4 linked regions of the Tamandua tetradactyla genome follow. The protein of the gene in region 1 purifies or fractionates together with the protein of each later gene. This does not show direct contact. Links are inferred from orthologs where the notes say so. Each region holds a gene or a part of one and is shown in the gene's direction. Other genes may lie near its edges. The genes, in order: INSIG1, AMFR, ERLIN2 and SCAP.

The links.
Region 2: the proteins of INSIG1 (region 1) and AMFR purify together in Homo sapiens (affinity purification with western blotting; 6 studies listed by BioGRID and IntAct, with this or other methods). This does not show direct contact. The link is inferred for Tamandua tetradactyla from reciprocal best matches to the Homo sapiens genes INSIG1 and AMFR.
Region 3: the proteins of INSIG1 (region 1) and ERLIN2 purify together in Homo sapiens (affinity purification with western blotting; 4 studies listed by BioGRID and IntAct, with this or other methods). This does not show direct contact. The link is inferred for Tamandua tetradactyla from reciprocal best matches to the Homo sapiens genes INSIG1 and ERLIN2.
Region 4: the proteins of INSIG1 (region 1) and SCAP purify together in Homo sapiens (affinity purification with western blotting; 11 studies listed by BioGRID and IntAct, with this or other methods). This does not show direct contact. The link is inferred for Tamandua tetradactyla from reciprocal best matches to the Homo sapiens genes INSIG1 and SCAP.

What each region holds. Positions count from the first base shown.
Region 1 is NC_135327.1:200,660,586-200,668,018, forward strand, and holds the start of INSIG1 (insulin-induced gene 1 protein), read left to right. Parts: upstream 1-4,418; 5' UTR 4,419-4,527; intron 4,528-4,701; exon of another isoform or gene 4,702-4,888; intron 4,889-5,848; 5' UTR 5,849-5,878; coding exon 5,879-6,290; intron 6,291-7,433. UniProt on the Homo sapiens protein: Oxysterol-binding protein that mediates feedback control of cholesterol synthesis by controlling both endoplasmic reticulum to Golgi transport of SCAP and degradation of HMGCR.
Region 2 is NC_135342.1:50,117,867-50,124,931, reverse strand, and holds the start of AMFR (E3 ubiquitin-protein ligase AMFR), read left to right. Parts: upstream 1-4,061; 5' UTR 4,062-4,216; coding exon 4,217-4,477; intron 4,478-4,692; exon of another isoform or gene 4,693-4,711; intron 4,712-7,065. UniProt on the Homo sapiens protein: E3 ubiquitin-protein ligase that mediates the polyubiquitination of lysine and cysteine residues on target proteins, such as CD3D, CYP3A4, CFTR, INSIG1, SOAT2/ACAT2 and APOB for proteasomal degradation.
Region 3 is NC_135352.1:5,638,569-5,645,915, reverse strand, and holds the start of ERLIN2 (erlin-2), read left to right. Parts: upstream 1-4,331; 5' UTR 4,332-4,429; intron 4,430-4,438; exon of another isoform or gene 4,439-5,046; intron 5,047-5,661; 5' UTR 5,662-5,676; coding exon 5,677-5,783; intron 5,784-7,244; coding exon 7,245-7,326; intron 7,327-7,347. UniProt on the Homo sapiens protein: Component of the ERLIN1/ERLIN2 complex which mediates the endoplasmic reticulum-associated degradation (ERAD) of inositol 1,4,5-trisphosphate receptors (IP3Rs) such as ITPR1.
Region 4 is NC_135341.1:39,146,846-39,154,633, forward strand, and holds the start of SCAP (sterol regulatory element-binding protein cleavage-activating protein), read left to right. Parts: upstream 1-4,788; 5' UTR 4,789-4,865; intron 4,866-7,788. UniProt on the Homo sapiens protein: Escort protein required for cholesterol as well as lipid homeostasis.

The sequences.
Region 1 (7,433 bases):
TCTGTTTCTGGTATATTGCATTCTGGCAGCTAGCAAACTAGAACACTGTGTGATTACACATACCAAAAAAGTCTTAGCAAGTAAGCTAAGACACTCCTCAATATTCAGGAATACAATTCTGCTATTAAATGACGGTGTAGTCTATACTTATTGACTCTGAAAAATGTTCAGGATCTCTTAGGTAAGAAAAGGAAATACGATCCTATTTATGTTTTTAAAAACATACATACATGTACATAGAAAAAGTATCTGGAAACATACACACCAAAATGTTAACTGTGGCTATCCTAAGTAGTGGGATTATAGGTACTTTTTAAAAGTATTTTTCCATCTGTTTAGATATTTTACAGCAAGCAGGTTATATTGTTTTATTAAAAATAAATATAGGGCGGTGCGACAGTGGCTCAGTGGCAGAATTCTTGCCTATCATGCCACAGACCCAGGTTTGCTTCCCAGTGCCTGTCCATGTAAAAAGATAAAAGAAAAGAAAGAAAGAAAAATAAATACACATGGGCAGTGCAACAGTGGCTCAGTGGCAGAATTCTCACTTGCCATGTCAGAGACCTGGGTTAGATTCCCAGTGCCTACCAATGCAAAAAAAAATTTTTAAAGGCTAAAAAAAAATACACATATTTAGTCACCTACCCTATTTCTTAAAATATTATGGTTGTATGATGACTAATGTTAAAATAAAAGAATAGTAGGAATACAACTAAGGGTAAATAGCTCACTAGACGATGTCTCAAAACACTCAGATTTCCCATGATTCTTCTGTGTCTAGAATAGCTACCGAGGCATTGTGTCCTATTTCACCATCCTGTTCAAGATAGATGCTATCATTCCAAGTATTGAGTGTCAAACACTCAAAATATTTGAATATGGTTTCTGATATTGAAGTTGAAGTCCCCAAGAGGATAAATTCCAACTACTCAACTGTCAATATCCTAGACTGACTTGATTCATGGAGTCAGATTATATAGGCATTCAGGCCAACCACACACAATGGGAATGCAGTGATAAACTGTACCTTAGATTAAAAGAGGCTGAGCTGACAACATTCATCAAGGACCCAAGAAAAGACAGCCCACAGGTGGCCCTTCCACACTCCCACAGTATGCTTTGTTCCACATACGTGGAGCAGCCTCAGCTTCACAGGGCCTCCCTGGCTACAGTCCCCATGGTTGAAATTGTCCCAGCACAGATGAAAGGAGAGGATGGTCAGAGAGGCTGGTTCGTCTTAATATTGACTTGGGCAGATAGAAAGAAAAAGATGACAGAGTAAATAGACCATGCACCAGGTTGAATAGAATCTTTCCAAAATTCATGTCCACCTCAAACCTGAAAACATGAAATAGGGTCTTTACAGATGTAATTAGTTAAGACGAGGTCATACTGAATTAGGTCATATAAAGACAGAGATGCACACAAAGAGGAGGACATCATGAGAAGACAGAGCTTGGAGTAATGCATCTATAAGTCAAGGAAAGCCAACCACTAGAAGCTAGGTGGAAGGCATGGAACAGATCCTCCCTCAGAGCCTCCAGAAGAAACCAACCCTACGCACCTCTTGATTCAGACTTCTTGCCTTCAGAACTGTGAGAGAATAAATTTATATTGCTTTAAGCCAACAAATTCGTAGTCATTTGTGGCAGCAGCCCTAGGAAACTAACAGAGACTTTAGCATACCAAGTACCTAAGGGAATTGATAGCCCCTTCCCAAATATGAACCAAGCAACTCAGGAATCTATAAAATAGCTTTACATGGTAATACCTTGAAACTAAGAGGTATTACAATTGAAAGCAATGTTGGGGCAATTTACATGGTCAAGCAGAACGGCAGGAGAAAGATATAAACAAAGAAAACCAAATACAGCTTAAATCCTAGAAGACAGATACACTGGTTTCTGTTATGAAAGGAATCCATGTAGACAGCAAGCAGCTCAATATGTATGCAAAGAGTTTTCACCTGTTTTTTTGGGTCTCACATACCTGAATAAACCAGTTTATGAAAACGGTCCCAATAAAGCAAAGATTCCTGTATTTGCTGGTGTTTCATAACTGAATCCACCACATATCTACATCTCAGGGTCAAGACTATAATGCAGATGCAGCTCCATGAGGTTGACAGTTTTACATCAGTGATTCTCAAAATGCTTACGGGCTTGACACTAATGACAGTAGAATATAGTTTCCTGGCAGTTAAAAAAGAAATGATTCTCAATTACATAACATTCCATTCTATTGAGGTGCCATCATTTATTTAACCAGTTCCCTATCAGCTGACAATTTGGCTGCTTTTTAGTTTTATTTTTGTTAATACATACCAAGCTCCAATGCTACTATGATTGTATACATACGACTTTGCCCACTTAGGCAAGGTGGAATGGATATAATGATCCAAGACTCGAACTACAACATTTCTTGAAGTCAAAACTCCTTTGACTCTTTGGCAACAACATATAAAACGGTGAACAGGCCCTGAAGAGGATAGGGAGAGAATCTGAAAGCCTTGATTCTGCCCAACCCATTCCGAAGGGAAAGGGAAAGAGCTCCATCTAACCCCTCCATTTCCAAACGGTCACTCACACACATCTGGTTCAAGTTCAAGGAACGAAAGCAAGTCACCTTATTAGCAAATGCTATGTCTTCTTGATTGACCAAAAGGGTTTGAGAGCAACTTTCAGTTACAATCCATAGTGACTACACTTAGTGCTCACAGAAAAGTAGAAAAGATTAGGTGAAGTTCACACCAGATTGGCATCAGAAGGGGTTTAAGACCCACCACAACTAAGCTATGTCTCAGCCACGAAGAGGAGTAAGAAAAGAGAAATTTGGTAATGACTCTGGAGTGATAGAAAAAAATTAATGAATGGCAAATGTGTTCACACGTGGCTTCTCAAATTTTCCTAATGAAACATCCCTTACAGTCAAGGAGTGTGAGCACAGCTGCTGTAAACACTACTTTTCCCTGAAGTCCCGTTTTGTCATTAAAAATTCGTATGAATCTCTCTCATCCCACCCTTACAAATAAACATAAAAACTTTTGAGAAATATTGATACCGCATGAAGATGTTTCACTTTCTGTTGTTTAACCTTCTGGCTTAGAGCCACGAATCTTAACCTGGAGAATGCCAGACAAACGGTTATTTCATGTTGCCATATGGTAGGCGTGACTCAAGTTTTCTAAGTATAGGATCTTCTCATAGCCATGAAGCGTTGCTATTTACAGCACAAACTTCCTCTGCAACCTCTGCTCATCTGCAGCTAGTACAAAAGACCACATCTTTCTCTACTATTGTTGAAGAACATTTTAAATACTATAGATCTCGTTCAACATGTTGCAGGTTTTCAATTGGCATGATGCCGGCCTACTGAGCTTATTTTTAGATGGCGTGACACATGTGATAAACAGGATATAAATACATTACACATGTCAACAAGATAAAAGTCTACTTTTTCAAATGTTTTCTGTTTAACATTTTCTTTTCTCCTTAGTGGCTTTGAGGGTTTGCTTTGCAAATGTGAAGATTAGAAAATAATCCTTGTGTGAATGGAATATTTGTCATTTATTTGTTCTCATAAAGGATTTTCTGTCTGGTGGGAGATAAGTATAAAAGTACCTTTAACAACACATACATACACACACACAAAAATTAATATCTAATATTTAGCAAGCCCTTACTACATATTAGGGACCATTCTGATCACTGCATGCATTAGCTCATTTAAAATTAATAGTTATGGTAACTATCAAGAGCCTAAGGACTACAAAGGGACATCCCTACATGAAATAAAGGTTGGAGCTGTAATGTGGGGTGTCTGCAGGACTCCTTGTTAAAAAACAAGATATGCCAGATTCACACACTTAAGGCAAAAACTGTTTTCTCCGTTGATGATCAAAGTGAAGGGGGCCAGGAAAGAAGGTAAATCTCTATCAATCGGCCCACATTTGAGGCTGCAATGACCCCAAATCGCTTAACGCGAGGTTTGGGAGCGACACGTACGGGTTGTATAACATAAATCCGCTTCCTTAGCCATTAAGCCCCTTTCCCAATGATCAAGAGTCTCCTCTACAGCCATTCAGGTTTTACTTTGGCCCCAAGCGTCAAAATTTGCGTGGAGCCCCCTCTCACGGCTCCTCTGAGCCCGGTGGGGGTCGAAGTGCTACCGGCCCGGCCGGAGCGCCGTGGTCCAACCGCGCGGGCGCCTCGAAGGTGAGGCCGCCACGCGGGTGGGGCGAGAGGCGCGTGACGCCTGCCCCGGGCCACGTTGGCTGCGACCTGCCCGCGCGGCCGCCTCCGCCACAGCCCCGTGCTGGACGCGCGCGGGGCGGGGCCGAGGGGCCGGCGTCGGAGCGGCGGGCCCGGCCCCCAACGTCCCGTTCTCGCTTCACTCGGCTCCCTTCTCCTCCTCCGCTGGCGTCCGCCACCCCAGCCTCGCGTTCCCCCGGCGGCGCCGCCCCTCCCTCGGCCCCAGGTCCAACTCCGCGGAGCTGAGAGGCAGCCCGACCCGGCTCCCGCCCCTACGGTTCGTAACTGTCGGGAGGGAGGCGGGTGGTGTGTCGGCCACGTCATATGGGCCGCCCGCCTCCCATTGGCGGCCGAGGCCTCACCAGACCGAATGTTTACCTGGAGGGCGGGAGCGGGCGGGAGACCGAGGCCCCGCCCCCGGCCGGGGCGGCGTGTGGGGGCGGGGCGGCGGGTGACTTCGGGTAGGCTGGGCCGTGGTAACGTGATTTGGGAGCTTCACGGCCTGTGATATAAAGGTTTTACTGCCTGCTGGATGCTGCGGGGGAAACTTAAGGGCTAGTCTCCACCGGCGGCGGCTCCTCCTCGGTAACCCCGCCTCCTTCGCCTCGGTGAGCCCGCGGGCGGGCGCCCTCAGGCAGGTAGGGAGATGCCGGGGTGGGGGGCGCGAGCCGGGACCGGAGGCCGGCGGGGAAGCCAGAGGGGGCTGCTCAGGACGTAGAACCCACTCCTGAGGCCCCAGCTTCCCGGGTGCTGGAGCCTCTCTCTCCTTCCCCGGGAGCTCGAATAGATGAACTTTCCCAACGGAATCTGAAATGTAGACCTGGAGGCCTGACTGCTCAGGTGCCTTGGCCTGAGTTCTTTGGGTTGATGGGCTGGACGCCCCCCTCTACTTCCCGGATAAGCGGGATTCCCAGCACTCTTCTGGTGGGAGGTGCAACCCATGCACGAAATTGTTTGGTTAAAATAGTAAGTCGTTGCCGGCGTCCAAATGTGGTTAACCAGTGCTGCTGTTTCTTACGTCGCTTTTTTCAGTTCAAAACCAGCAGGTTTGATCCTGTTAACGTTTTCTGCGAAACGCTGGTTGAAGATTGGGATGTTTTCCTTATGCTAGTTTTAAAAGTTTCGTGGCAGATGTACATTGTGCCTTGAAAACTCTTGGACCGAATGGGCAAGCTTTTCAGGACATACAGAGTAGGGATCCTTGGTAGGCGGGTAGTTTTAAAGTGTCTGCTTTATTTTGTAGAGTTATGGTTATATTTATCTTACATATTGCTTCTGCATACCTTCAAACAACTTATGCATCACCCAGATAGAATGTATGGGTAGTTTTTTTATATGTTAATTTTGTGACAAAAGAACAGACATGAGGTAATTTATGTAAGTGCAGTGGCTCGGTTATGCAAGGTGGCTGATGTCTGCTACTATAGCCGCTACTAACTCCCTTGAGGAACTTTTTTGTTCTTACTGTATATGCTGGGGATGAATATTAGTGTAGCTTTCAGCATCTGACTTGGGCCACAGGGCTGGAAGTTACAGGCTTCTTTAACTTTCTTTGCCTCTTTATTTCCTCCCCCCCCCCCTTTTTTTTTCACTTCCAGGAAACTCATCTCGACCTTTGGTGGTAACAGATGCCCAGATTAGACGGTCACTTCTGGAGTTGTTCCTGTGCTCACGGTGGGAGGCACCCAAAATACCTGAAAGCCAGTGCTGGAGGGCTGGCAGCAAAAGTGGGAGAAATGATCAGTTCGTCTGTTTCCAGCCCCTCTTTGCTGGTGGACCACAGTGGTGTGACCACAGACCCCTCTCAGAGGGGCCGGAGCACTGGAACCAGTGGCCACAGTAGCGGCAGCAGCCACGCTAACAGTTGGCATCATCACTTGGTGCAAAGAAGCCTTGTGCTTTTTTTAGTTGGAGTTGTCCTAGCCCTTGTGCTCAACCTACTGCAGATACAGAGAAATGTCACCCTTTTCCCCGAAGAAGTTATTGCCACCATCTTCTCCTCAGCCTGGTGGGTTCCTCCCTGTTGTGGGACAGCAGCTGGTAAGTAACTGTTCTTATTTTATTTTAAAAAGTATATATAAATATTTATTTATTTATTGTCAGTAAGGAACATTTATTTGAAAATGGAGCCACTCACAAATTAACACTGTTTGTCACCAGTGTTTTTTTTTAATTTAGGTAAAGAAAAGAGGGGTAGAGAGTATTATCAAACCTCCAAATGCTAATCTAAGCAACAGCTGTCTCCAAGTTTGAGGAAGTCCAGTGATGGAGATGAGGTAGGGAGATAATTGGCTGTTGAAGCAAATGCCTTTGCCAAACCAAGCTCTCTTCCTCTTACTCTGGGCAGACTAAGGACAGTCTTGAGTATAGCACTGCAGCTGTCATCAAGAGCTAGCTGCCCTGTGATTGGCTGCCTTTAGAACTGGTGAGCAGCAGTGCTGAGTTCCTACTGGTTGCCTGAGTGAACATGCTACACTGCTGGATAACTAAAAACAAATCCGTCACATGTGTTCGAGAGGTGGTTGCCAAGGGAGCAACTTCTCAGCACTTCTTTTGCCAGGACATCCAAATGAACTGCGGCCAATAGCCAAGCCTTTTTTGCTCCCTAGAACTGTTAGCTCTATAGATTAAGTATGTCAGGAAGAGAGTAAGCCCAATTGTGTGCACGTGGACTGTCTTTTTTTGAGTAGAATTTCTTGGTTGTCACTTAGCCAGTTTTATAACAACACTGAATTAATCTTAGCCCAGCAGATCACTTAGTACTTCCTTAGTGTCACATAGCACTCATTTATATAAGTATTTGCCAGGTGTAATATGAAATATTACATTTTATATACTTGTAATATAAAAGTATGACAAGCCCCTGTCCTTAAGAGTCCCATAGTCCAGTGGGGAAACCAAAGAAACATGTATATACGTAACTACAATACAATATGAGGAGCACCCTAATATTTTCCTTGTAGCTAGTGTTTATTGATTGCTTACTTTATGCTTTATGTGCTTTACTTTTTTTGATCCTTACAACAATCCTGTACTTAGCTCCATTTTACAAATGTGGACGCTGAATTACAGAGAGGTGAAGTAATACTGTCCAAGGGTACCCAGCTAGTAAGTGGCAGAGCCACTGCGTTTGAGCTTAACGGTCACTTAAGAGCCACTGTTCATAACTCTGTCTATACAGTC
Region 2 (7,065 bases), on another chromosome or scaffold:
TTGGGTTTGTCTGAAATGACTCATTTCTTTTTCTTTACATCAAACCAAATTAGAGTCCCCATCCCACAAAGATGGCAGAGAATTCAGTCTATTAGTCATTATTGAGAGTGGAGGGACTTACTCAAACAATCTAGGGGCTTGAATGGTACTCTGAAATGAAGGTGGAGTGGGAAGATGCTAGAGGTTCTTCCATCACAAACTCTTCTCCACTCACCCAGGCCGGATCAGCCACTGGAAACCTTGCTGCACTTGGGGCTCGGGACTGGGACTCAGCTGACACAGGTAGTCCTTTGGGTGTGGTCCATTCTTGTGTTCTGCTTTCTCCCCTGTTCCTCTCATGGTGTGGGATACACTTAGAAAGACCCAGAAGCATTGAGCATTGGTTGAGTGGTTTCCAGCCTTTCAAGATATCTTTGAGATAGGGATGTGTAAAACTTGGTTATGTTCTTGGAGTGGGACAGTGAAAATGTTGGTAGAACAAATAATTATCCTAGTAAAATCCTGAGAAAAACTTTTAAATTCTTTCAAAATGCAAGTAAAAATAGCCTTACATAGTTTGGTTAATTTTACCTGTTTCATAGGTTTTTCAGAAAGTTCAAGCTTCTAAATGAAATTAGACTGTAATTTTTATGTAGTCTTAGACAAAAGTAAAAAATTGATATTAAGCTCTTTACAAAATCATTCCAGAGAATAAGTTGACTAAAGCTTTTTTTTTTTTTAACACTTAGGAAGTAGTGGATATCTCAGTATAGTTCAAAGACAAGCACTTTGAAATTCAAAATATTGGAATATTATATTTTAAGGTCAATCTACTGACAGTAGCCCCTTATGATGGTGCCAGAATTTGTTTCTTTTTCAAGTTTAATGCTTAGTGTTTTGTGATTGCCTGTGTTTGGATGGAATATGGATCACCAATTAGTGTGTGGTAGTTAGAAGCTGTTATGTACCCCAGAAAAGGCCATGTTCTTTTTTTAAATTTAATTTTTTATTTTTATTAATAAAACCAATCAACATACAATATGAGCATTCTTTTTTTTATCACATAGTTGTATATTCTTCATCATGATCATTTCTTAGAACATTTGCATCAATTCAGAAAAGGAAATAAAAACAAAAAAATTCATACATACCATACCCCTTACTCCTCCCATTCATTGATCACTAGCATTTCAATCTACTAAATTTATTTTGACATTTGTTCCCCCTATTATTTATTTATTTTTAATCCATATGTTTTACTCATCTGTTCATCAGGTAGATAAAAGGAGCATCAGACAAGGTTTTCACAATCACACAGTCACATTGCAAAAGCTGTATCATTATACAATAATCTTCAAGAAACATGGCTACTGGAACACAGCTCTAAATTTTCAGGCACTTCCCTCCAAACTCTCTGTTATGCCTTAACTAAAAAGATGGTATCTATTTAATGCGTAAGAATAACCTCCAGGATAACCTCTCAACTCGGTTTGGAATTTGTCAGCCATTGACACTTTATTTTGACTCGTTACTCTCTCACCCCTTTTGGTTGTGAAGGTTTTCTCAATCCCTTGATGCTGAGTCTCAGCTCATGCTAGGATTTCTGTCCCACGTTGCCAGGAAGGTTTACACCCCTGGGAATCATGTCCCATGTAGAGAGGGAAAGGGCAGTGAAGGCCATGTTCTTTTGATCCACTCCTGTGAATGTACGTCTATTGTAGGTGGGACCTTTTGATTAGGTTATTTCAGTTGAGATGTGGCCCACCTTATTCAAGCTAGGTCTTAATCCTACTGGAGGCCTTTATAAGAGGATAAAACATACAGAAGCTAGGAGATGAAATTCAGAGCAGCTGAGTGGAAGCCACTGAAGCAATGAAACCCTGGAGAGAAGGACCAGCAGCTGTCTCCATATGCCTTGTCATAGTGGCAAAGGAGGCCTAGAGGCCAGCAGCCTGTCTTCAGAGTCCAGGTATTGTCCAGTTGATTCCTTGAGTTGGACATTTTCACAGCCTAAGAAGTGTAAATTGTAAGTTAATAAATCACCATTGTAAAACCAACCCCAAACTGTGGTTTAAGAATTATTGGGGATATTTGGGTGGGGGGTGGGGTGGGGTAGGGTAGGTGGGTAAGGGGTGAGAGCTAACACTAGGTTTCTTTTAGGGGTAATGAAAATTTCCTAAAATTGACCAGTGATGGTTGTTAGAACAGTGTGAATGGATAGACTACAAACCATTTTGTTCAGTCTAAATGGATGAGTTGTACGGTTTGTGAATTATGTCAGTAAGCCTTTTAAAAAAATGTTTGGGGCTCAAATCTTGTAATGTAACACCTCCTTAGAAAGTTAACTATCCTCATTTTTCCAAAAGAAAGCTTTCCATCATTTTATCAATAAAGTTGAAAGTTTAGCATTTTAATCAAATTACCTTGGCTATAGAATCAAAGGGAACTGAAGTCTAATAAGCATATAGACTTCATATAAGAAAGCATTGTGTGTGTAGTTGACCCCCAGTAAAGCCAAACTGTTGTTCTATGGAAGGCCCCCTTTAACTGGATGCTTCTTAAATTCCACAGTGGATGGTAACAACCTCAAGAGATCTTTTCTTATTTTCTAATTAATAGACTATTAGACTTGAGAAAGACCTTAAAGATAATTTAGTCCTTTTGTTTTGAAGGTTTGTAAGGTTGAACAAATATTTACTGAGCATCTACTATACTCAGGCACTATTTATAGGTCTTGGGGATATGTAGAATAAGACCCTAAATAACACATTTTTCTTTAGGTGACTTTTTTTACAACGCCTTTACTGAAATATAGCTCACATACCATACAATTCATCCAATTTAAAGCGTACAACTCAGTGGTTTTTAGTATATTCATAGAGTTGTGCAAATAGTACTACAATATTAGGACATTTTCATCACCCCAAAAAGCCACCTGTGCCCTTGAGCTGTCACTTTCTCCCCCACCCCTCCCCCCAAAGCCCTAAGCAACCACTACTCTACTTTCTGTCTCTATAGATCTGCCTATTCTAGACGTTTCATTTAATTAATTAAACAATATATGGTCTTTTTTTTTTTTTTTCACATGACTAGGCACTGGGAGAAGAAACAGGGCCTCCAGCATGGCAGGTGAAAACCCTGCCTGCTGAGCCACCATGGCCTGCCCATATATGGTATTTTGTGTCGCATTCTTTCACTTAGCATATTTTCAATCCATGAGGCATGTATCAAAACTTCACTCCTTTTTAAGGTGGAATAATAATCCACTGCATAGATACACTGCATTTTGTTTATCCATCAGTTGATAGACATTTGGGTAATTTCCATCTTTTGCTATTATAAACAATGCTGATATGAATATCTGTGTACAAGCGAACATATGTTTTCATTTCTCTTGGGTATAAACTTCAAAAAGTGTGGAACTGCTGGTTTAAGTGGTAACTCTATGTTTAACTATTTGAGGAACTGCCAGACTTCCAAAGTGGTAGCACCATTTTACATTCTTCCCAGCACTGTATGAGGAACACATTTTATTTCGTACCAAATTAGGTTCGTTTCAGATTCTGCTAGCGGTTATTAGTAAACAGCAGAAACACTTGAGGTAACTTTATTGGAGAGAAACTTCCATAATATTCTTGCTTTCGTGGTCAGGGCCTCTATTATTCCATAAATACCAAGGGTCCTGGGGGACACCCTGCTTTAGAGGATGGAGGAAACAAAGGGGCAAGTGTCCGGGGGGCTCCCCAGCGTCTGGCGGGCCGGCCACTGGGCCTGGGCCAAGGGCCAGGCCGCCCGTCAGCTCCGAGAGGCCTGTGTCAAGTCTCGGATTGGCCCGGAGCGTGCTCTCTCCGCTGCCGCGGCCCAAGCCGAGCCGGGGTGTAGGCGAAGGATGAAGCTTGGTGCTGAGCCGCAGGGCTTGCGACCTAGTCCTTCGCCCGCGAGGCGGCGGGGCGACGGCTGGGGGCGGGGGACGAAGGCCGCGCCCTCTCTCCCGTCCCGCCAGCGCTCCACTGGGGGCGACAGCCCGTCCGGGGCCCGCCGAGGCTCTTCCGCGCCGGCAGGGGCAGCAGCGGGAGCGGTGCGGGGCGGAGCGGCCAGGAGCTGCCCGGCCCGGCCCGGGGTGGCGGCGGCGGCGGCAACAGCGACGCCAGAACCCCGGGGCGCTGTTCTCGAGCCTCCCGCGGGGACTCGGCTGCAACGCGGGGAGGCCTGGGGTCGTGAGGCTGCCGCTGCCGCCATGCCTCTGCTCTTCCTCGAGCGCTTTCCCTGGCCAAGCCTCCGCACCTACACGGGCCTCAGCGGCCTGGCTCTGCTCGGCACCATCGTCAGCGCCTACCGCGCCCTCAGCCAGCCCGAGGCCGGGCCCGGGTCGGCCGAGTCGGCCCAGCTAACGGACCAGCTGCAGTCAAAGCTGCCCGCACCGGCCCGGCCGAGCGCTGGGGGTCCCCGGGCCCGCGACGTGGCCCAGTATTTGCTCTCAGACAGCCTGTTCGTGTGGGTGAGCGAGGCTGCCCCAGGCCCTACAGAGGAGTGGGGCGGTGAGGGTGGGTGGGGGAGTGAGCCGCCATGTCACCCATTATTCGTGGGGGGCGTGGCTGGGATAAGGGGCCTCCTTCCCCCCAGACCTCCGAGGGCAGAGGCCGTGCGGGAGGCGCCTGCGAGAGCGTCCGCGGAAGGAGAGGGTTGCGGTGTCGGGGGTGGGCTCTGGGGTGGAAAGAAGATACGGCCCGAGGTGAGGGCTTGAGGAAGCAGGTCCACGAGGCGCGAGGGGTGCGGAGAGCGGTGGGTGGGAGTGGGGGGTGAGGGAATGTGGCCAGGCCCCTAGGGAGGGGCGGGTGGGGGTGGAAAAGGTTAAGGTGCCCGGGAAGGGGTTGGGGGAGCAAAAGGTGGCCTGCGGAGTCGAGATTTTTGAGGAACCATCTGGAAGGAAATCGGAAACCTCAAAGAGCAGGTTTTTAAGGGAGTTTGGGAGCACAGAGTCAGCGAACCTGCATGCTTTATTAAGTGAAGGGAAGTTGAAATGCTTCTCTGGCTATAAAGCTTGGAAAAGTTGTTAGCGGGTTTTTAATGCAGAGGAGAGGGCAGGGATGGACATTTGCCTGTGTTTGGGCATTCCTGTTGGAAGAGAGGCCTTCTCCCACAACTTTTTTGCCATTGGTTGGTATTTGATCGTCCTCTTTGGGTGGTATGTTTAATTAAAAAACAAAACTGTGCTTTCCTGCTGCTTTTACCTGATGAGTTATGTCGGTTTTCTTTGATGTCTGAAGGCAGCAAAACATTCAATTCAGGAGTCAACTAATTTTAACTCGAGATTTCTCCTTCTAGTGATCTATTTCACAATAAGCTTCCCAGTTTGTCCTCCAGTGCAAGATAAACAACATTTACAAGTCATAAATGTTGGTTTCCTTTATTAAAACAGGTAGTTTCAGGCCGGGCAGATCAAGAGTATTTTAGATAAATAGTTTTGCTTTCTTTGGGTCTTGAATGTTTGTTACATAAATCCTGCAGCGATCAAAGAAGTTGCTGCAGGAGATAAATCTGTCACTTGGGCATTTACTGCTGCATTTTGTATCTTAGCTTCTTCTCCTGCAAGTTCCCATCTGGAATTGAGAGTAGGCTGTAAATGACTGAGAGATTAATAATTCCAAATTTATAAAATGATATACAACTCATTTGTTATAATTAATCCCACTGTGCTTCATCAGTGAGCGGTGGGATTTGAGAACTCTGTGGGCTGTGGAATACACTTCATCCGTCTGATGTAGAGTTTAGTAGAAGGCAGTGAAAGATGAAGCCCAATCCGCTTCTGCTGTGTAAAGCTGAAGTTTACAGTACCAAAGAAGGCAGAAGAGAAAGAACCCAACTCACATCTTTTGTTTAATTTCCAGTAATTTTTTTCCATTTGAATTAGCAAGTAAAAAACTTAGAGTGATATGAAGAGTAATTTAGCCAAAAGATTATAATGAAGTCTGACTAAAACTTTAAGTCAGAAGTTCAAATAAGCATCTGAAAAGGAATCACTATTGTATTTATATAACACCTGTTAGAATTAATAATATTTTCCCTTGGAAGTTTCTTCTTGCAAAACCCATGTTCAAATCTCAACGTTAATACCACTTCATAAAACTTTATATGAAGCCTGTTGATTTTTCTGTGAAAATTGTTATTTTTAAGAAGATTTCCCTTTGCAGTTTTTTTTGAGAGGTTTTACGTCATGCAATTATAATTTCTTCCTATTTATTGGTGGTGTTTTCATTTTCTCAGTTGATCATTTTATTGTTTTCATTCCCTCATTTCTCTTTTTTTTATGTACATCTTCACTTTCCTTGGTTTTTTAGAGCTAGCATGGATGTGTACATTTGTAAGTTTTTAGTTTCTGCTTTAGCAGCCAAGTAGGGATCATAAGCTCAAAATCTGTAGCCTGATAACATTAATGAATGAATAAGTGGTGGGGTCTTTGACAAAAACAGTATCCTCTTAGCCGCCTTCCTAAAGGCATTTTGGTTCAACTTTTTTCAAAAAACCCTGCCTTCTAAGACCCAGCAACATAAAACAAAAACTGATCCTTTTGCCATTTTGCAAGTCCTACCAACTATTATTTAACATGTTGGAATCTCTAAATGTATCTTTGAAGAGCTCAATTTGGGATAATATAGGTTGTAGAGTGTCTCAACAGGTTTTAGAAACAAATTCAATTCAAAACCTTTCAGAGGTACTAATTTGTGCACTCTAGGGGGTATAGTTGAAACATTTTAAGTAATAAACAAAATATGGTACAGTTTGGAGGAAAGACATTAGATTCTGCCTGGGGGAGAACTCATGGCACACGCATTTGGACCTAGCCTTAGACAACAGGAAGGATCTCAACAAGTAGAAAAGGCATTCCAGGCAAAGAAAACTGCACGTGAAGTTCAGTTTGGTGTGCAGTGCATATGCAGAGCAGTCAGTAAACTATTGAATTAAAAATCTATTGGCTTTTCTGATTGAAGAGGGAGGCTGAAAAGGTGAAGAGGAGACCTAGGGGTGGGAAAAGTGGTCTACTGTGAGGAAAAAGAATTGAGCAATCCCCCTGAAGACTTATTTCTC
Region 3 (7,347 bases), on another chromosome or scaffold:
CATTAACTTGATTGTGGTGATAGTTTCACAGGTGTATACTTTACATCAGAACATCAGATTGTATACTTCATATGAAGTTTATGGTATGTCAATTATATCTCAATAAAGTTATAAAAATCAAATCACAAAATAATCTTTAGGTGGCTTCCAACTGACTTCAACTTGGTATTTTTTGATTCCTCTTTGATCCTTCATCCGACCTCCCTGAAGTAGCACCTGAAGAAAAGCACCGTTCGGCTAAAGCATATATCCTTTTGTTCTTCTATGGTATCAACCCTCATTTTTATAACAAAGTAAAAGAAGAAAGTTCTAAGGAACTCTCTTAATACTTGTAGAGTTCTTCACTCCTCTTCTCCCAGTTCACCAAAATCTTACCAGAATCAAATGTCCTGAAAGATGACCTCTATCCTTTTAAGGCCTAAAGTAGAAAAGCAGGAAAAATCAAAATCAAGTAAATAGAAACTTTGTTCCAGCAACTTCCACTCTTGTGATATAAAGAACTGAAGCCAAACATTTTAAAAGTCACTTGACTCCTTCAGAGTTAACCTGGTTGTCAATAAAAAGGGCTCTGTCTGTGAAAAGAAGGGATTTCTTCTTTTTGGAGTGGCACTTTCACTAACAATTAGCTAGATAAGAGAACCAAACAAACAGCAATCCAGAGATACGGTGATGTGGATTGCTGGAGAGAGGTACTTTTTACCCGGTTTCAACCTACAACTGCAAAATGAACTTGCCCAATTTAAAGTTTTGCAATTTCTGACCACTGGTCTACATTCCTGAAAAGTCGTATTGTAAAAAATAAATGTTTGCTTGTGTGTTTTAAGCTGTATCATTTTCCAATCTGCTTACTACTGAAAAGAAATAGGCTTGGGATCATTTGAATTCTGCCTTTGCCACTTCCCAGTTTTGCAATCTTGGGCAACTCCTTAACTTCTCTAAGCCCTAACTTCCTCCTCCAAAATGGAGTTGAATTCAAAGGGCTGAAATGAAGATAATATAAAATGAGAAAGGCATAGGATCTGGTACATAGAAAGCACTCAATAATATTTTATGAAATTTGCATTGTAAATATCTATTGAAGTATAATTCAGAGTCCCTTATCTCTCCTTCTGATAAGGCTTCATTCGCCATTTGCCCAATACCACATAACTTTAAGTTTATCCTTCTCTCACCCTCTCACCCTCTGTCACATTAATAATCTGTACCCACAAACATGCAAGAACATATTAAAAGAATATTTAAACTAGCAAAAGTCTATTTAAAAAAGCAAAAGCTAGCACATATTGAACACTTACAACGTGCCAAATATTATTGTACGTGCTTTTCTTAATTTGCCATTTAATCCTTGCAACAGGTTGCAAGGTTGACGCTATTAAAACCGTCATTTTACAAGTGAAGAAACTGAAGCACATAGAGTTCTTTTCTCCAAGTCACACAGCTAATAAGAGGTGAAAGCCAGAGCCCCCAATCTTGGAGTTCGTTCTTATGAAACTGAATCCCACAAAGGATAGGCTAAGCCTACTTAAAATTAGGCCTAAGAGTCACCCCCAAGAGAACCTCTTTTGTTACTCAGATGTGGCCTCTCTCTCCAGCCAACACGACAAGCAAACTCATTGCCCTCCCCCTGTCTATGTGGGACATGACTCCCAGGGGTATGGACCTTTCTGGCCATGTGGGACAGAAATCCTAGAATGAGCTGAGACTCAGCATCAAGGGATTGAGAAAATCCCTAGAATGAGCTGAGACTCAGCATCAAGGGATTCAGAAAACCTTCTCGACCAAAAGGGGGAAGAGTGAAATGAGACAAAATAAAGTGTCAATGGCTGAGAGATTCCAGAGTTGAGAGGTTATCCTGGAGGTTATTCTTATGCATTAAGTAGATAGCACCTTGTAGTCAAGATGTAATGGAGAGGCTGAAGGGAACTGCCTGAAAATGTAGAGCTGTGTTCCAGTAGCCATGTTTCTTGAAGATGATTGTATAATGATATAGTTTTCACAGTGTGACTGTGTGATTGTGAAAACCTTGTGTCTGATGCTCCTTTTATCTACCTTATCAACAGATGAGTAAAACATACGGAATAAAAATAAATAATAGGGGAAACAAATGTTAAAATAAATTTAGTAGATTGAAATGCTAGTGATCAATGAAAGGGAGGGGTAAGGGGTATGGTATGTATGAATTTTTTTCTGTTGTCTTTTTATTTCTTTTTCTGAATTGATGGAAATGTTCTAAGAAATGATCATGATGATGAATATGCAACTATGTGATGATATTGAGAATTACTGATTATATATGTAGCACGGAATGATCATTTGTTAAGAATGTTTTTGTTTGTTTGTTGTTATATATTTTTTTAATTTTAAAAATAATCAAGCTATACACTTAAGATCTGTGCATCTTAATGTTATGCGTATTATGCTTTAATTAAGATGCACAGATCTTAAGTGTATAGCTTGATTATTTTTTAAATAATCATTTATTCAAATATTTATTTTCAAATAAAATTTGAAAAATTTTATTAATTTGAAAATTAATAAATGGAATGGAATAATCATAAGTTAAGAATGTTTGTGTTTGTTACTTTTTTTAAATTTAAAAATTAATAAAATAAATAAATAAAAATTTAAAAAAGAGGTGGGAGCCAGGATTTAAACCCAGGCAGTCCGGCTGTGCAGTCAGTCCCCACACCTAACCACTTCTTTACCACAGCACATCTGCATGGACGCTTTGGACAGTGAATCATAAAAGTCACAAGTCTCATAAGAAAGGGATTTTCAAAAATGTTAGCTCATCTTGCAAAATTCATCCCCTACCTTAAGGCAGGGCCACAACTAAACAACTCAGTTCTACTGAAAGCCTCCTGAGAACAAAATCCCAGAACTTCCTCTCATAGTCCATTCCAAAGTTTAAAAGTCAGAAAATTCTTAAAACTAATTTAAATCCCTTAATGCTGCTGGCTAAGCCCCTTTCCTTCGGTTGATAAACTCCAGTGTTTCTATTCTTCTTACTCATTGACTCACCTACTAAACAGTTGTTAAGCATGCAGGGATGCATTATATCTCTGAGCAGCTAGAGAAAAAGCTCGAGTTCTGAGAGGGAGAGTCAAGCAATGGACTGGGATGTGTGTATGATGTGAGTGGAGATGTCGGGTCGCAGGATGGGGAGAGGAGAGAGTCGAAAAGAAGGCCCTGATACAAGAAGACGACCCCAGACAGGACTATCCACCCCGCTTGTGGACCTAACCACGTATTATTCAAACATCTCAATACAAACTCAGACACAGCAAAATGAGGAAGGGACAAGTGGGTCAACCCCAAGCAGCCACAACGCCTGAAAAATCCACAATTCATTTTTCCTGCCTCCTACATTTGCCTCAAACATTAGCTTACTGTAAAAAGCTTTTCATTTACTGAAGACCGTAATTAAGTCTGAACTTCCTCTTCTACAAACAAAACTATTTCAGTAATTGAATTAGAAGTTCCGTGATAGGAGGTTTCTGAAGAGTGAAGGCTGAGGGCGATGGCAGGCCTTTGGACCAGGAGAGGCGAGGTCTGTGTTCTGGTCCTGGGTCCACCCTGCCTTCCAGCCAGCATTTATGAGGCACAGAAGCTCAGACACGACGCAGCCTCAACTCTCAGGGAGCTTACAGTCTGCTCAGGGAGACGAGGTCCGAGGCCTTATAGAGACAGTTGAGCTCAAGACGTTAAAGAAGCACAAAGCCTTTCACCATTATGTCCCACACATCACTGAACCTCTTAGATACACTTCCTTAAAATGGAGAGAATATCTCCTTCTTAATGTACTTTATGGTACTGTGGGGACCTTAAAGGCCAAAGCTCCTAGAAAAGCATAATGGGCAATAATTCAAAGTAGAGATAGCTTATTGGCAACACACGGTACTTAATCTGCTTATTTATAAGACCGTCCCGTGCAGCTGGGCAAATGGACAGGGGCCGGGCAGAGAGCTAGAGGAGTTTCAATGCACTGTTGCAGAAAAAAATATAGGGCCCCAAAGGGGACTCGGCCTAACAGAGGAGCAATCCTGGAGCAGTGTTCAAAGACAGAACCTCAGAAAGCGACCCTCTCGGTCTCGACCTCCCCACGCTACACAGACTCGACCCACACCCGTGCTCTCGCGCGTCCCTCCGGGGACTCCCCCACTCGCCCAAACCCCAGCCCGAGCCCCGGGGCCGGGTCGGCTGACGGGCGCCCCCTCGTGGCCGCCTGCGGACACCCGCCGCTCCCACTCCGGGGGGCGTGGCGGACCAGCCAGGAAGCGCGGGCCGCAAAGGCAGCGTCCTCGCGTGGGCTGATGAGGTCATCACTGGAGCGACGGGCCCGGAAGGAAGTGGCGTGCTAAGGGGTGTGGCGGTTTCTGCGGTTGCTCGGGGGTTCGGAGGAGTACGGAGCGCCTGGAGGGACAGCCCGGTACGCCGCCCCCGCCCCTCCTCAGTGCGCGCACCGGGTCTGTGTTGCTTCTCCAGAGGCCGGAGCTGCTCGGCGGTCTCTGGGGGTCCCCGCCTCGGCCACTTTTCCCTCAGCCGGCCCGTTCCTGCAGCGGGATATCAGCCCCTTTCCGCCCTGTCCCCCACCCACCGTCTTTCAGGCGGGGCCGAGCGGACGCTCTGGGAGCCCCGGCTGCAACCCTGGGTGCTGGGGACACGCTAGCCTCTCTCTCCGAGGAGGGAGGGGAGGGGGCGAGGTGGGACGGGGAGGACCCCCCGAGGGAAGGGTCTCTGCAGAAAGGTTGCTCAGCAGCGGCTGGGGGCTGCCACGCTGCAATGAGCGCCTCGACGCTCCCTGCGCCCGCCTTATGGTAGACCCGGGAGGCAAACTCCACGCTATGACTGAGTGTTCCAGACACGCTTTACTGTGAACTTGACAGTCGGTCAGCACGGTTTTTCCAGCGCTTTCAGGGTTCAGGAAACCAGCCTCTGGCCAGCTTTTTGGCGTCCTGGTCCCTGAACGCATTTGGACCCAGAAGCCCAGAGTCTCCCATCCTGGACAACTCTCCTCGTCCCACGAGGGGTTGGAGGAACTGTCAGGTGCATAATACCTGTCAAATGTATGGGAGGGAGTATGACTGCGGTCTTGTTCAGGACCCTATGTCCCCTTAAGGGCCCCGGGAATAACTGGAAGGTGGATGAAAGGCCACAGAATCCTACCTTGAAACTCCGCTCACTCCCTGTCTCTGTCACTCCAGGATCTGAAAGGAGTAAATAAGGGTTTCCTTTGAAATGGGAGACAATTAGGATTAGGAAGCCCTGAACAGAATTACATAGTCGCAACTGCCTGTCATGACATCCTCTGTAATTTGGTTCAACCTACTGCAGCTGCCTCTCTTCCTTCTTACTAGTATGCGTGGCCCCAGTGACAGCACATTCATGTTCACAGGAAGAGAAGGCTGTGTTCAGAACGCTGCCCAGTTGGCACTGGTTCTTTCCTGGACCCAGTCACTGTCTCTTCAAGGAGATGGAAATATAATTCCATGGCCAAGGAATGTGAATGTTGAGTTGACAAGGATGAAGAGAGCCTTGTGCTCCTACTGTAACAGGCTGGAAATGAGCCACTTTCAGGGAGCTTACCTCCATGAGATACTCTTACTGTCATAGTTTATCTACCACGGGCCACACACACTTTTTCCCATGTCTTTTCCCTAGGAGAAAGGTTCACTGATGGCTCAGTTGGGTGCAGTTGTGGCCGTGGCTGCCAGTTTCTTTTGTGCATCTCTCTTCTCTGCTGTGCACAAGATAGAAGAGGGACATATTGGGGTGTATTACAGGTAAGGCAGAGGCAAGGAGGAGTTTGCAACGTCCTGTGAAGTATTCCCCTTTGCTAGTCGCTGTCTATCAGATTCTGCTGAGTACCTACCTGTGTTTATGTTTTTTTTTAATATTTTGTCTTTTGGATCGACCTTTTGTATAAGTGACCATGAGGGGAGAATATTTTATTTACATATATTTTATGTATATTATATATTATACACACACACATATGTAAAAGCCTCCTTAGAGTGTTCTAAGATGATGCCAAGGATGGCAATTGATAAATATGTGGATTTAGAAACAAAACCTAAAGTAGACCAATGCTCCTTGTAGACCATCCCTAAAATGATGCTTTTTCCAGCATCATTGTGGGTGTTTGAGTGCCACAAAAAGACAGTTGAATCCCAATTCTCACTGGCAAATTGAGAAGATAGCCTACCCTGCTAATTTAAAGAATGATTCCTTTGGGACTATTCTTGAAAATTAGCATTTCGGGAGAAAGGAAAAAACCCGCAGGTTGATTTATATCAATCAAGGCAAGTGCCAGGGTGGTAGCTCTTAGGATTATGGGACCCATTATGTCCCTATTTACTTTAATACTCTTCTTAAAAAAAAATTGTCTTGGACTTAATGATGTAAAGCAAAAAAGCACTTATAAATCTTGAGTTGCTTACCTTCTACTAACCTCCATAGCCACGTTTTTTTGTTTGTTTGTTTGTTTGCTTTTAAGTTTTTACAAACTCCTTGTATGTGCCTTATGTTGCTTATACTGGATTCCAATTACAAGTACCAAAATTCTGATTGGTTTTCTCCTCTCCCCTTAAATCATTTCTCCCCACCATTTGCTTACATGTACAAAAACAAAAAGGCTTTGAATTTTTTAATTTATTTACATACAACTTCATTAGAACAGTAACTCTCTTGTCAAAAAGTACATATTATGGTCATTCGGTGGTAGAATGCTAACTTTCCATGTGGGAGACCTGGGTTCAATTCCTGAACCATGCACCTAAAAAAAATAAAAAATACATATTATGACTTATAAAGTGTAGTTAAAATTATTCTTTTGGTCATCCAGGTCACTGGACTCTTAACATTAGTGCAGTTAGTTAGTTGATAACTGTACTATCAGATTTGAGTGCCCTAATAAAATGCCACAAGCTCAGTGGGTCTGACAAAGTAAAACAGACCGTTTCTTATCCTAGGTATAATCAGAAATTCTTCTGTTTTTATTCCCCTTCGCTCTTGGGCCTGTTTTTGTCCTTGCAAAAGCATAAATGATGATTTTATGTTTTATCATCAGGTTGTTGTTATACCAAGATATTAGGGTAAAGCTGAGAGAAAGAAAGGAATCTGTGAACATGGTTCTGGCACATGCCACTTTATGTTCAGTGTTTATGGAGCTGAAGAGAAAGTTGGTCCAAATGGTATCTAATAGAGCCTTCTTGCTAAACAGCCAGTTTCTCTCTTCCCTGCAGAGGAGGTGCTCTGCTGACTTCCACCAGTGGCCCTGGTTTCCATCTTATGCTTCCTTTCATCACGTCATATAAGTCTGTGCAGGTATACTTGATTTGTGGGGGT
Region 4 (7,788 bases), on another chromosome or scaffold:
TATTTGTCCTCCCACTTCATTCTTCTTTTTAAGGATATCTTTGGGTATTCATGGTCACTTTCCCTTCCAAATAAATTTGATAACTAGCTTTTCCAAGTCTTCAAAGTAGATTGTTAGAATTTGTATTGGTATTGCATTGAATCTGTAGATCAGTTTGGGTAGAATTGACATCTTAACAACATTTAACCTTCCTATCCATGAGCATGGAATGTCTTTCCACCTGTTTAGATCTTCTTTGATTTCTTTTGGCAATGTTTGTAGCTTTCTGTGTGCAGGTCCTTTACATTCCTGGTTAAATGTATTCCTAAATACTTGATTCTTTTAGTTGCTATTTTGAATGGAATTTTTTCCCTTATTGTCTCCTCAGTTAAGTCATTACTTGTGTATAGAAACATTACTGATTTTTGCACATTAATCTTGTATCCTGTCATTTTGTTGAATTAATTTATTAGCCCAAGTAGTTTTGCGATAGATTTCTCAGGATTTCCGAAGTATGGGAGCATGTCATCAGCAAAAAATGGAAGTTTACTACTTCCTTTCTGGTTTGGTTGCCTTGTATTTCTTTTTCGCCTGACAAACACATATTGACCTTGTAGGCCCTACTCAAATGACATTTTCATGATTCCTGCTCTTTGTTTTCTTGCCAGTAGACTCCCTGTATCCCATAGCACTTAGAAGGTCAGTGGCAAACTTTGGGGCTGGGGAGACCACATTTCATACTGCTTCTGCCATTTAGCAGCTGTGTCACCTCAGTAAGTTGTTATAGCTCTGGATGGTTCAGTTTTTACATCTGTAAAATGGAGTTTATCTTATCTGCCTCATAAGGCCTTTTTGAAGACTATGAGATAATATGTTGTAATATCTGTCCTGGCAAGGAACTGACAGCCAATTATTGGTTATTTTTATGACCTCTGTAATTACTCTTATCATATTGCCTATAAAGTTTTATATTAAGATAGTAAACTTCTCTAGTCCAGGGAATTTACTTATTGTAGCCTGGGTCTCTGAAACATGGTAAGAACTTGATAAATAATAAATGCATATCATTGACTATCATTGCAACTTTGATATTTAATATTTTTTGAGACTGTATTTTTTATATTAGAATGGCCACTATTTATTGGGTTCTAGGCATTTTGCATGTAATCACACTCCCATTTAATTTTTTTTAAACCATAGATGATGTTATTCTTAGTTGCATCTTGGAATCAAAGAAAACCGAGGCTCCATGAGGTTATGTTGCTTCTTCAGGCCACAGAGTTGCTGCTGAATGTGAGGATCAGTTTCCATTACAAGGAGCTTGGCCCTGAAGCATCCCAACTTATTATACTGCCAACTGCTATAGCTAATGCTTAATGGTGAAAATGACCCTCAGTGCAAGTATTGCAAAGACAAGTATCATTATGAAGCAGCTTTCTCTGAAACTGTGGCAGGCAGAGACAGCTGGGCAGGAGGCTCTAGTATTGGGTCCCAGAGTTAGAGCTACCTTGGGCACATCTCTTTCCCTCCCTAGAGAAAGATTTCCTCATTTGTAAAATAGACTCAACCCTTCTTTTCTAAGATTGTTATGAGGATTAACTGAAATCAGTTTGAAGGTTGGCCCAGGGTAGATGTTCAAGTTGTGGGAATCATCATCACTTCTTGATCTCTAATCTCTCAGTAGTTATTTTTAAAAATTGCTGAATATACCATCTCCCTGAGAAGTAATCTGAAGTAAGATTTGACTTTTGGTTAGTCAGGGCTAGAAGTTGCTATTCCACATGAAATAAAAGTAAAATGTAAAATCAATTATTGGCAACATACCTGGAAACGCATTAAAAAATAAGATGGATTGGTGGATAGATAAAGGGATAGATTCGTAGATAGACACAAGAAAAGTAAACCATTAACAGTTGTAGAATTAGGATATATAGGTGTTACCTGTATGATTCTTTCAACTTTTCTTTGTGTTTTCATAATATAATGTTGGGAAGAGAAGCTCTAACATCATGGCCACTTCATTCTGCAGTAGATTCACCAAGGCCCACTGAGCCTTTATTTCCCCAGAGGCTCCAAAAGGCCCTTGTTGGTGCTCCTGGTGCAGTGGAGTATTCGTCACCATGCTTCAAGGCTCAGAGGTACTTAGCCAAGTGCTTGTCAGTTTTGGAGGCTCTTGTTTTCATATGTATCCAGACCTCACTGAGGGTCAGTCCCCCTGCAAACCGATTCATTGGTGTGGTCAGAGGAGAGGGAGTGGTAAATAAGGGGAATGTTCTAGTGCTAGCTGCTAGAATGAAATATGCTAGAAACGGAATGACTTTAAAAAGGGGTATTTAATAAGTTACAAGTTTACATGTTCTAAGCCATGAAAATGTCCAAAATAAGGCAAGGCCATAGAAATGTCCAATCTAAGGCAGCCAGGGAAGGATGCCTTGGTTCAAGAAGGCCGATGACATTCAGGGTTTCTTTCTCAACTGGAAAGACACATGGTGAACATAAAGACATCAGCTAGCTTTCTCTCTAGCTTCTTGTTTCATGAAGCTTCCCCAGGGCCGTTTTCCTTCTTCATTTCCAAAGGTCTCTGGCTGCATGGGTTCTAGAGCTTTTTCCAAAATGGTTCCCTTTTAAAGGGCTCCAGAAAGCAACCCCACCTTGAATGGGTGGAGACACATGTCCATGGAAACAATCAGAAAGATCCCACCCAGCAATACTGAATGAGGATTAAAGGACATGGCTTTTCTGGGGTATACCACAAATTCAAATTGGCACAAGGAGTGATAGCAGTTCTCAAAAAATCAGTCTGTCTGTCTATATCCCCCTCATGAAGGTTTTTATAGACGGTCTCCTAGCCATCTCTGAAGAGAAGACTTAGGTCCAGTGGGCCTGGGTTAGGGCTCTGGGGGACTCTGATTCAATTTTAAATATTCTCCAGGTGATTCTTGTGAGGCAAGTGTGCAACTATGTTCTTTTTAGGAACTTGGCAGTAAAAGAAAGGGGTTGAGAATGGGTCATGCAGGGTCATAGTAGGTTTAATCAGAAAACTAAAGAAAATTGGATAAGTTTTTATATTTGCCAAGAGAAAAGAGGCAGTGGAGAGAGAAAAAGGAACTGGTTACGTAGATCCTTCATGCCCAAGGTTTCTGAGGGGACAGATGATGGGATTTCAAGAAATCAGATACGGAGAGGGTGATGTGAGAATGAGTAGGGGGTATAGGTAAGGTTTTCCCACAGTACTCTTTATTGCTACCTCCCTCTAATTTAGAAATAAACAAATGAAAATAATTCTTCCTTTATTGAAATTAAAATCTCCATCTTAAGCCAAAAGCCAACCGAAAATACAAGGAATAATCCTAAATGTCATTTTGGCCAAGGCCAGTTGTCCCTACTATTCTTTAGTACCACTGTGACAACAGTGTGGAGGGCAGGGAGCAGGGCTGGGCTTTGGTGACCTTGGAGAGGCAGTCCAGAGTCTGGTAGGAATGGGGTTGAAGGTGTGGGAATAATTATTCACAGAAGGCATAAGTAGGGCAAGAGCAAAGGGGTGGCCAAAGGGCAGTTTGTGGTTTCTGCCTTGCATTGTAGCTATATATGCACTGTATCAGCACTTTATACAACTCCAGTGCTGGTGCCCTTGAGGACAGCAACATAATCTCTGCTTAATCTTTGCTGTCCCAGGGTGAGTGTACGTAGGTGGGTGGCTCAGGCACTTAGAGCTCCAGCAGGGAACAGGATGGTATGAGCAAAGCCCCCCACACCTTACTCCCCAGACAATGAACAAAGGACTGCCTGTCCTGGGCCAGCTCTGTTCAGGGCAGGAGACCTGTACTCCCATCCTAGCTTCCTGGCAAAGCTTACTCTTTCTCTTCTGTGAGAAGGGGGTTTAAATGAAAGGACATGTGCAAAGTCCTCAGCTCAGGACCTAATCACAATGAACAGAGTTATTGATGTGTCCAAATGTGTCCCATGCAGAAAATGGTTAAATACCCATCAGCAAACCACAAACACCCACTTAGAGATTGCTACTGACGACACATCAGTGTGTTATCACCCTAGACTCTTCTCCTTGCGTGTGTTCTTAATAAAAATGAATCATACTCTGCAGTTTGTTTGGAAACTTGCAAAAAGCTCTTTTAACTTCACTAAGTATTTTAAAACTTATCCTTTTAAAATCTGTGTAATCTCGTTTTTTTTGGATATAATTTATTGCACCCATTTGCACTTTTCTACTTTTTTTAATGGTTTATAATTATTTTAATGTGCTGTTGAAATTGGTTTGCTAATATTTTGTTGAGGATTTTTGCGTCAGAGGGAATTGGTCTGTAATTTTTTTTCTGGCTTTATTATGAGGGTGATTTTGGCCTCATGGAATGAATTAGGGAGTGCCTCCTTCTCCAATTTTTTGGAAGAGTTGAGGAGGAATAGTGCTAATTCTTTTTGGAATGTTTGATAAAACTCTCCTGTGATGCTGCTTCTCACTTTTTACTTCTATATAAAAGGGTGCATGGACATCTTGGGCACGTTTTGATAATTCTCCAGAACGTGTTTTCAAAAACTCTCGTGCAAGCCTGGTGGTTTCCTTTCCACCGGGCCCAGGACTTCCTCTTCTATTTCCTTTGGGGTTTTGTGGCTGAAGCCCTCCAGGGGGCGAACGGGAGCCGCGTGTGGGCGGGGCAAAGTCATACCACGCATGCGCAAGCCTCCGGGAGCACGTGCTCAGGGCGGCTCAGGGGAAAGGTAGGAGGTGAGAGGTGAAGGGGCGGGGAGCTGCGCGGGCGCCGGTCGGCCCAGTAAGAGAGGGCGGGCGCCACGCATCGGGCTGCGGTCCGGGAGCGCGCACGCTGCGCCCCGCCCCCGCCGCCGCTGCCCAGGAGCCGCTGCTGCCACAGGTATAGCCGCACGCGTCCACACGGCGCCCGCATGTGGGCCCCGATTCGGGCTTCACGCTGCGCGGACCCCAGTGTTGGAGTTGGTGGCCCTCAGGGAGGGACTGGGGCGGGGGCGCTGCCCAGCAGCTTTGCGGGCTGGGCGGGAGGGACTGCAGCTCCGAGAGGGGCCGGGCCGCTAGTCCCTACCCCCACTCCGGCCAAGTTCCGCGCCCCCACCTCACCCCACGTTACCCCACCCTGCTCGGGTAGTGGACCACTGCCGGGAGAGGGGGCCCCATAGTCTCCTGGGCAGCTTGCTTTGGCGCTTTCTGGGTCTTCCAGAATGAGGAGGAGAGCAATGCTGTCCAGTCTCCTGTCTTGGAAAATCTGATTGAGGCAACACGTAGCTTTTCTGACGGGTTTTGCTTTTGCAGTTCCCTGTGTTTTGCTTGAACTTAAAGTTTGCTTACTAATTTTATAACTGTTAATTTCTGTACTTGGCGGAAAGTTGTACAGATGAACATGTTGGGTCAAGGGAGCAGTGAGGCCCTATGAGGGCTTTTACAGGAGTCTCCCTTAGTCCGGGTTACACAGGAGTGTAATATCAAGATAACGTTAGGTGCAGGGAGTCCTGGATCCCGACCTTATTGCGGAAAGTTGTGCAGATGAACATGTTGGGTCAAGGGAGCAGTGAGGCCCTATGAGGGCTTTGACAGGAGTCTCCCTTAGTCCGGGTTACTTACAATCCCATCGTCTACGGTGACAATCAGAGATGAGTTGATTTAAGTCTTTTGGGGGGATTTATTAATAATTCTTGTGAGGACATGGAAGAAGATGTTTTCTTTAATGATGTTAGTTTTGCGGGTGTCTTTTTTTATTTGAGCAAACGTTTTGTGGAGTCTGGTTATGTAGCGTCCTTAAGGGTGTTCTGCCTTCGTAGGATGTGGTGCCATATATTGACGCTTTTGTAAGGAAGTCTGATCAAGGGTTTCTAGTGGTATATACATTTTAAGTGTTCCTGGGTGATAGCCAATTAAAGACCTGTATCTTTTTAAATGTATGTTTACATTTAAGTGCTTTATACCTTTCCAGTTCATTCTACTGCAGTTGTTGGTACTTTATATTACAGTGATGAGTTTCAGGATTCTACTTAATTAAAAAAATTATTGTTGTCTTCTGTCTTATCAGTTCATATTTGAATAGATTGGTGTTTGTTTAGAAAGTTGAACTAAAATAACGGAATGGGTTTTGAGCAAGAAATATATTTGTCTAACTAGAGAAGCTATCATTTACCTAGAGGAGACATCATTCCTCAATACCAGTGGTTGTCAAACTTTAATGTAAATTACAGTCACCTGAAGGGCCTGTTTTAACCCCACCCCACAGTCACTAATACTGGGATAGCCTGGGAATTTCAATTTCAAACAAGTTCACAGGTGTTGCTGCTACTGCTGGCCTGGGGCTTTCAGAGCCATGTAAATGCACCTGAAACCAGAGCACCATGTCAGTGCTTACATCAGATTTCATGCTGAATCCCATCAGCATCAGTCAGTTTTGTAGTGTAGTTCTGCCAACTACATACCTGGTTCTTACTTTTGGCTTATTTTCTTCCTATTTTTAGGTGATGTCTTAAAAGTGAGATTGCATTCTCTTCTATGGTGCTATTTCCTTTTCCCCCTGTAATTCCATATTTCTAGGTTTATTGAGGGATTTTTAAGTAGAAGTCATCTGTGTTGAAGAAAATAGGCAAGCACAAAAAACACAAAAGCTTTAATTGTCTGTAATCCCAGTGATAGCCATTGATAATGTTTTGGTGTATATCATCTCAGGCTTCTTTCTCACTCTCTTCCTTTTTCTTTGTGTAATGGATCATAAGTATTATATCTCACTTGTTTTTTCCTTTACAACATTTTCTTTCTTTTTTTTGTTTGTGTTTTGGGTGCCTGGTCCTGGAATCGAACCTGGATCTCCTACATGGAAGGCGCGCATCCTACCACTGAACCACCCATGCACCCTTATCGTTTTTTTTTTTTAATGTAAAATCTCATTTATTTTTATGTTTCCCCATAACTTTATCTTCTGAGTAGCCTTGTCCAACGCAGTTTGCTGCATTTGGCCTTGTGCTTGGGTTGCACCTCTTAGAATGCTGCACATTACTCATGAGTTCTCTGAATCATGGTCTCTTTCATCCTCAGCAACCTTATTAGATCCCTGCTTCTTTGATCTTCCTCAAGCTGGCCTGCCATCCCTTCCTCCCTCTAACCAGCCTCTGCTGCACCATTGAATATTCCTACCAACAGTGTAGTAGGGTTCTTGTTTCTCCACATATCTGCAAACACTTAAATCCTGTTTATGAGTGTTTACACACTCATACATATATGTAATATATATATAATATATATATATATGCCATTCTAGTGGGTGTGAAGTGGTACCTCCTGATTTTGATTTGCATTTTTCTATTGAGCTTCTTTTCGTGAGCTTATTAGCCATTCGAATGTCTTCTTTAGAGAAATGTCTATTCAGATCCTTTGCCCATTTTTAAATTGGGTTATTTGCTTTTTTGTTAAGTTGTAGAAGTTCTTTTTGTATTCTGGATATTAAACCTGTATCATATATATGGTTTCCAAATATTTTCTTCCATTCTGCATGTGGTCTTTTCACTTTCTTGATAGTCCTTTTGTTGTTGCTGTTAGAAAAGTTGTAGATTTACGGAAATATCTTGTGTAAAATACATAATGTACAGAGTTTCCATATACCACCATTTTATTAACACATTGTGTTAGTGTGTTACATTTGTTATAATTAATGAAAGAACATTTTTACAATTCTAGTAACTATAGTCCATTGTTTACAGTACGGTTCACTGTGTTGCGCAGTCCTATGTTTTTAAAATATTTTTACTTTAGTAACATATATGACCTGAATTTTTTCCTTTTAACTA